Lytechinus pictus: one gene and its partner. The protein of the gene in region 2 purifies or fractionates together with the protein of the main gene of each other region. This does not show direct contact. Links are inferred from orthologs where the notes say so. Each region holds a gene or a part of one and is shown on either strand. Other genes may lie near its edges.

Region 1 (3,929 bases), on a different chromosome or scaffold from region 2:
CTACACCCTCAAAATATTCAAGGATTACCCAGAGGAATCTATAATTTTCTCCCCTTCATCATACTGGTTTTTAGATTTCCACAATTAAGACAAGTAAAGCTACCAGAGCCCATCGGGAGGCATCATGATATATATATTTATTTATATTTTACAATTGGCTCCTTTTAATAACCCCAATATTCCTTCCCTTTAATCCATAGACCAATTATATATTAGTTCATCAAGTGCATGATCATCATCATTTTCTGGTTTTGTATGATCAAAATGGATGCATAATGCATTACAATAGTAAATGCAATGCAACAAAATATATCAAACACATATGGACCATTTCTAATACGAGATTTCAAAATAGTATACATGTGGCTTATAGTACAGTAAATATATTCATATATATTCAATACACCAGCAAACTAAAAAGCATGGTTGGTACTTGAATGTAAAATTTGAAATCCCTATGGTTGTGTGTACACTGTATGGTCGAGTGCAGATCAATCATTCTCAATCATTATCGCACATATTCTACATTGAGCAGTTGTAGAGTTTATCATTTGAGTTAAAATCTACAAGAGATGCTTATTTTGCGATTTTGTCTGGCAGACAGTATATATTCCATTTCATTCATGAAAATTTCTGTACATGTATGGTGCATGCAGAGTTAAAGCACACCCATACACATACATCAATAGACATGCAGACACACAAACTGTCATACACATTGCTCATGTAGCAGCATCCACCTATCATCCACTCTCCGCATCGGTATGCATCAATTATGAATCTCTTTTCTCTTATTTCTTGTTCCACCTCTCCAAGTTGCCATCTGACGAGGAGAGACAGACACATTGGCAACAGTGACGCTGAAAAAAAATGAGTCATCTTTTTCAATCATGAAAAAAGAGCTAATTTATGCATCTTATCTTCCAACTCCAGTAGCGAGAGTGAATGCATAGATAGTTAAAGCTAGGCACTTGTCTATTTCAATATATCTAAAACTCACATGTACACATGAAAATGTACATAACCATCCATTTTTACAATTATTTTAGTTTTGCCTGGAAGGCACTATATTTTGGGGCAACCAACTTCTTTCAAGTATATTAACATTCAAATTCTAGAAAATAAAAAGGAAATTTCAAATCCATTCCTGGATCCTGCAAAGTAGTACTCTGTAGACTGTTGTGGACAGGGGCTTGCCCCCATCCATTTTGGATTTGACACTCTTTTTGCCCCACTTGTTCTTGATTTCAAGAAAGTAGCCCTGGGCTAGTTTAAGGTCCAAAATAAACTATCTAGGCCCCGTCTTACAAAGAGTTATGATTGATCCAATCGATCGTAACTCTATGGAAATCCATCAGTGTCACAATTTTTTTCTTTAGGAAATTTGCACAATTTCCTTTGAAAACAAAGAGAAGCATACTGTATTATCAAGAAAACAGTTAATGTATGAATATATACTCATAACTAGAAAATATTTTGAAGAAACATGTATTTTAGGCGTTGTCGTTGCTGGCTTTCCATAGTTGGGATTGATTGGATCAATCGTAACTCTTTGTAAGATGGGGCCCAGAAGTAACAAAATCATAATTTTACTGAAAGAAATAAGGAAAGATGACACACACAAAAAAAAATCCCTGCTTAAATAATAATTAATATTCACATTTCACTCCCTACAAGTAAACTAGCTAGAGGCATATGTTTTGTCGAGTTGACACTAAATGACGTGGTGAACACCAGACGCATGCGCGATTAACTTTGTCCCCGTACCAGTTACATGTAACACTTTTTTTTTTTAGAAATCTGAGGAGCAATTTGCCCGTTAGCTTTTGAAGTTTTGTTTAGTGCCCTGCTGCAAAGCAAATCCTGAACACTGAACAATAAAATGCATAAAAACAATAACGCTGAGGTAATGATATCCATGTCCCTATTAAATTTGGAAGCAAATAGAGATGTGATATGCACTATACAAGAACCGTTTATTTATTATCGTAAGAATACATGCATTTGCTTGTTTGTAAATCAAGTTACTATAAGCTAATAATAAACAATTTTCAGTTATATTTAATAAACTTCTATGCAAAATACAATGAAAGAAATATAAATTTAAATATATTGACTCGATAAATGACATTTAAAAAAACCCAGAGTAAGTATTTCCACTATTTGAACCCATCAGCAACAACAATGTACATGTATGGGAATCTAGGACTACATGTATGTCTTTGTCGTCCCCTCTAGTCTCCCTATGAAAATAAGATAATTTAGTTGTCAAAGGGTTAACCTACCTGTTGGAGGAGATAAGTAGGGAAGATGGAAAGCATTGAAACATGTCAAGAATGGCGCATAGCTCATTGTTTCCATCTTGCCACTTCAAGAACAAAGGTGAGGTTTCTAGAAGATATAAAACACAAGGGCCAGAGATTGGCCAGGTCAACTGAACCCAAGATCTTGGTCTAAATGGTCTTTAACTTGTGGTCTGGATGATCCACAGCAAGTTGTGATGAAAGAATCACCACAGACTAGTTGCGAACAGGAGATACTCTTGGCTCCAGGAATATCAAAGTCACAACGTACACCCACAGAGATTGAAACAGGTCGCAGGAAGTGGATCCCTCAAAGAATTCAATCAAAAACACACTACCGACCATTCCATCAGCATCTTCTAGCACTGGCACACACTTGATCTGTGGTTCCGTCCCAAAGTTCTGATCCAACCACCACCGTTACTACTACCACTCATCAGTCTAACTAACCATGGCACTGAACATCCAATCAGGAGCCGGCATCTTCTGCGAGCATCCCTTGCAAGTAATGAAACAAAATTCTTACAGGCATCAACTTGTTTGATAGTCTTGGTTCCCCATACCGGTCTTTATCAGAAATGGATCATGGAGTATGGACTTGTAAAAAAAATGTAACAGAAAGTGGACCTCTAACATTAAATTTTGAATCAAAATGATTTGAAATGTTCAAAGGCGAGATACTGTTCAATAGGCTAATGATAGCATTAACCATCTTCATTATGAAAATAAAATTGTTATCAATATAAAACAATTTTTGTAATCTCATTTAGTACCAAAAAAGTTATTTATGTTATGGAGCTTGTTTAAACCTGACTGGATCAATTGCTGTTGCTCACTGGGAGTCAGTGCGCTACTTGAACTTGAAGATAAGGTAACATGAATATTATATGATTCTATGATTACAATAAAAACCGATGCTAAACCTTCTTCTTTGTTGAAGACTTCACTTATGCAGCCTTCTTACACAGACTAGAAAGATGAAATGGCAAAGCCTGGGAAGTGGAATCCACAGATGCCAGGGATTGCGACCAACCCCAAAATACCACTGCTTGCTCGCTTGTGCTCCCACCAGGCCTCCTGTGTAGTGACAACACTTGACCAGTTTTAACAAAACATTAGAACTGCAGAACTAAAATTGGTACCAGGAATGGCATTCCCCTTCCTAATCATGCAGGCATAAAACAAGTGAATGAAATATTAATATGGGTGCCGGAACACAAAGGTAAGCGATTAATCGCTTAATGAAGTGGCCTATCAAGATCATTATTGAATGCGCATTTTACTCAGTACACTGACAAAGAACCAATCAAAACTGTTCTTTCAAATTAGTGATTAATCGCTAACCTTTGTGTTACGGGCCCCTGATCCCTCTGGAGGGGAGAGAGAAATACAAGCCTACATACTTGTGTGCTTGCAAACTTATTCCCAATCCCGAATAGAGTGGTACTGAAACTTACAGGTAGATGATAGATTATTTCAAAATGTATTCTAAATATCCTATATTCATGTTCTTTCATAATATACACAAGTGTAGTTTATGAATCAATTTATCTATTGTGAATATATATATATATCTGAATCGATGCCAAATTCATAGCTTATATTGCATGTTCCCTGTGATTTCAA
Region 2 (3,929 bases):
GTCCAGCAGTGACGTCATGGCAGTTTAAAGTGCTTAAAAGTGGTATCACCAATTTTCAACATATGATGCACTATATACAATCAAAACATGAGATTCTTAAAGAAAATTATTCAAAAGAATAAAAAAGCATATTCTCATTCTGTTCTAAATGTTAAGAATATTCTTGCAAGTCTACGAATCCCGTTCTTTCTTAACTTTAACTTCTTCTCCGAGAATGGTAAGGATTTCTCCCTGCATAAAGGCCCATGGAGTATTGGTACCGGCTAACGGACATTTGGCTCCACTGGGACAGTATACTTCTGACCCAGATCCCTGCTTTTTGATACTGTCCCTTGAGCAGGGGAAACAGAATTTGTGGTTGCTAACGGACGGACACTGGACAAAATGTGTGTCTTCAAGACGCTCATGGCAAAGAGTACATTTGAGGATGTTAATCATGTGCATAGAAGAGTCAGGTAGATTGGAGGTGTTCGAGGTCACACTAGCCTCTTGGCCATGAGGAACAGTAGCCTGTGACAACTCTTTACTGCGATACATAGCTCTTCTCTGTGCAGTGGTTGGAGAGTGGGGGCTACGTTGTGACTTCTCACTGGATCCTGACGCTGGGTTGCTGGGTGGCCGCATGGAGGTTGATCCAGAATCACTCTTGTTGGTTGGCGAGGTTGGTGTGCCCAAATTGTCAGTAACAGACATAAGAGCCGCCATGGGGGACGGACCGCCGTGGGATGAGCTACCATCAGGAGGTGTACCAGCTGAGGCAGGGTTACTCATGGGAGACGTAGCAGTACTCGGTGGGCGAGAGCCACTAAACCCACCTGCTGACATGGTCAGTTTCAGAGCTTCAGCCTGGGTCTGCATCCACTGCTGTCGCTGTTGTTGCTCCTCGGTTAGCTTCCCTTGATCACCTTCTGGAGGTTCAGGTGATGATTTCAATTTCTTGTTCTTGTGAGTAAATGAGCGTGAGGCATGGGTTGATGTCATGATAGGTAAAACTGGACAACCGGCATCAATGTAAGGTTGCGGCAAACTTTCTACGCTCACCATATCCTTGAAATAACGAACAGATTCGGGAAGCAAATCACTCAATGGTCGCCAGTCATTAGAACCATGCTTTTTCTCATATTCAAGATACTTATAACCAGAAGAAAGGCTCTTACCGATATCTTTGACACAGTCCTGATACATCTGTTTGGCAACCCCTGATGCACTTGGGTATACCTGTCCTGAGCCACTGGGATATTCAATGTATATTTTGACTTCATAGTCCAATCCAGGACGATACACAGCATCAAAAGCAAAGACGCGACCTCGTAACGAATGATCCTTTTTAAATCTTACTTCAAAAGGTGTACACGTTGACAGAGTGGCCAAGGTTTGCCGAACAGTACTCGGCTTCTGTCCATAGGGATCGTCAACCACAGGTGTTACACGGCGTTCAGTATCAGAGTGTGAGGATGCTGAACTTTCTTTATCCTCTCTATCGCGATCTGCGAGGCTCCTTTTAGTTCCGCTACCAGGCGTGGTTGTTGGTGGTGCAGTCTTCCCTGTTGCAGAAGGTGCTACCGTATGCCTTGGGGTAAACACTGAACTTGAAACAGGTGGTGCGTTGAGGTGGTGGAGGAGGTTGGGCGCCATGTGAGGTGCAGATACTGGTGTAAGCGAACCCCGACACAGCAGTTTTCCGTCCGCAGAGGAATCTTCACTGGATGGAAATCCAAACTTTGGGGCTGTAGAGAAATCATGAATACTTCGGGCTCGGCTGGGTTCGTGAGTGACGAATCTCTCACCATGTATTTGTGTAGTTACGGAGCCAGGTGGATTCCTTGGCGAAGGTTCAACGTGATTTACATTTGCACTCTCCAGTGCAGATGGTCGGGGTGGTACACTCACAGATTGAGGAGGCATCAATGGTATCTGTCCTGGCTTGTGTCCCTGGTAAGATTTTGTATCCTGGAAACTGTGTGCTCTCTTCATCTGCCGAGCCCCTTCTATCACACTTTCGATGCGATCGGCACCCTCGTAATTCACACATCCACGACAAACGGGCTCGGAGAAATCGTGCAGCAAAGCCCATGGTGCCCGAGGTAGATCACACAGGTAACAATGCTGTCGATGCATGGCGAGATGGGATTGAGAGAGCAACATGTAGCAAAATAATATTTTACTCCACGACAAAGTGTCTAAATAATCACATGTAGAAAGCAGTAGAGGAGAAAATGTCACTCATCCAGTTCACAGACAACTCACGACTACAAAGTATTAGAATTTCAGCGGAGCTCTGCATGTGACATGACTTCACTCCGTCGAGGCAAAACAAATTCTCACGCTTGTCAAAGTTCGCGGCAGTATTATGAACGAAATGTATGCGTCGTCTGCTGCTCGCTCTGAATCTGGCTGGCACGTTTGTCCGTAAAGCAGTCACCGCTCCGAGCAAACACACAGGACTCAACCACCCTACACTGCACATGCGCACTATCCGTGTATGCTTGGCATGACATTTCAAGCATACTGATGACGTATGGGAGTGGAATGTACAATCATAGTACCCACACGCACTGGCGGAGCGGTGCCCGGGGAAAATAATCCCAGGCTGATTCATTAGCAACAGGAAGCGCCAAGACTGGGGCCTCAACGCTGCCGTGCTATTATTAAATATGTTTTGGAGCGTGGGCGACATCGCGGGTTTGAAAGACAGTCATTTTCTTCAGGCTAGCTCTGTATTTCTGCTAAATGCAAGTTCTTGCTCACTTCTCTGGGGTGGGGCTGTCGGAATAATCATCGGTTTTGGATAGGTGTGGATGAATCATATCAAACTGCCTAACAAAAAATAAATATATTGGCAAAACAAGTATAAGAACAAAGTGGATAAGGTGAAGGGGAGGGTTCTCTGTAAAGGGAAAACAGAGCCTCAGCATCACAACAGATGAAAAAAAAATCGTGTTTGAGAATGGATCTCACCTTTCTTATTCCATAAACCCAATCAATACTAGCCGAGGCACGTAGCAACGGGTAACGAAATCCTCGCAAACTATAAAGCCCTTTTCGAGAAAAGGTCTCGCAGTATCAATCTCCCAGCAGTTAAAAATGAGAGGGAAAATATAATCGTTGTATCTTGCGATTGGCTCACGAATTAAGCCCGCGGCGGCGGTATAGTAAGTTTGCAAAACCAGCAATCGAACCGCGTAACGCTATCTGCGACTCGTCGACTCGGGTAACGTCGAGTGTGTCGATCACTCCATCATCCGACACCGCTCCGCGATCGAATCCGGAAATAACTGCCGCCAAAAATGTGGTAGTCTCGAAACATGAAACTCCATTAAAAAGATCTCAACACTTGATTTAACTTCAACCAGAGCTATAATCTCTTCGCTCAGGGCTTACTTCGCCACGGATATCGCTCTCAAGACTAGCAAAGATCCGCTGCCTCCAGGGATCAATTGCAAGAAAGTATAGACTATATACCAAGTACGAGGTCGTCTCCATCCTCAGTCGTGGGGAGAAAAAAACATTTTCAACGATGATGATGAGGCCGAAACATGAAATTAGATTGTATGCTGTAATAGCCTAGAATTACATGCACATTATTCCATCTTTATACTCATGCGAATCATACAATTTCTTTCAATTGTCCAATCACCAGACTTTTTGTTACTCGATTTACTCCTGTATAAATGAAGCATACATTATTACACACCATTACACCCCACTTAGCCTACACACCCGCACACGGCCATACATAATCCACCAATCAAAAACAGATTAAACAAAATAATCTGGACTTATAAATTTCGTTTATATCACTCTGAATTGGAATTTCGTCTTTGACTAAAATTAATAAGCATAACGTTGAAATATACTTTTCTACCATTAGGCAAAATTCATTTATCCCTGTAATTAGTATTGCGAATGAATATAAGAACGGTATTCCA

Evidence for each region.
Region 1: the proteins of probable E3 ubiquitin-protein ligase IRF2BPL (region 2) and transcription cofactor vestigial-like protein 4 purify together in Homo sapiens (affinity purification with mass spectrometry; 3 studies listed by BioGRID and IntAct, counting the BioPlex papers as one, with this or other methods). This does not show direct contact. The link is inferred for Lytechinus pictus from reciprocal best matches to the Homo sapiens genes IRF2BPL and VGLL4.

The regions. Positions count from the first base shown.
Region 1 is NC_087247.1:40,156,803-40,160,731, reverse strand, and holds the start of transcription cofactor vestigial-like protein 4, read right to left. Parts: upstream 2,811-3,929; 5' UTR 2,362-2,810; coding exon 2,286-2,361; intron 1-2,285. UniProt on the Homo sapiens protein: May act as a specific coactivator for the mammalian TEFs.
Region 2 is NC_087251.1:17,905,012-17,908,940, forward strand, and holds the start of probable E3 ubiquitin-protein ligase IRF2BPL, read right to left. Parts: upstream 2,617-3,929; 5' UTR 2,146-2,616; coding exon 172-2,145; 3' UTR 1-171. UniProt on the Homo sapiens protein: Probable E3 ubiquitin protein ligase involved in the proteasome-mediated ubiquitin-dependent degradation of target proteins. Through the degradation of CTNNB1, functions downstream of FOXF2 to negatively regulate the Wnt signaling pathway.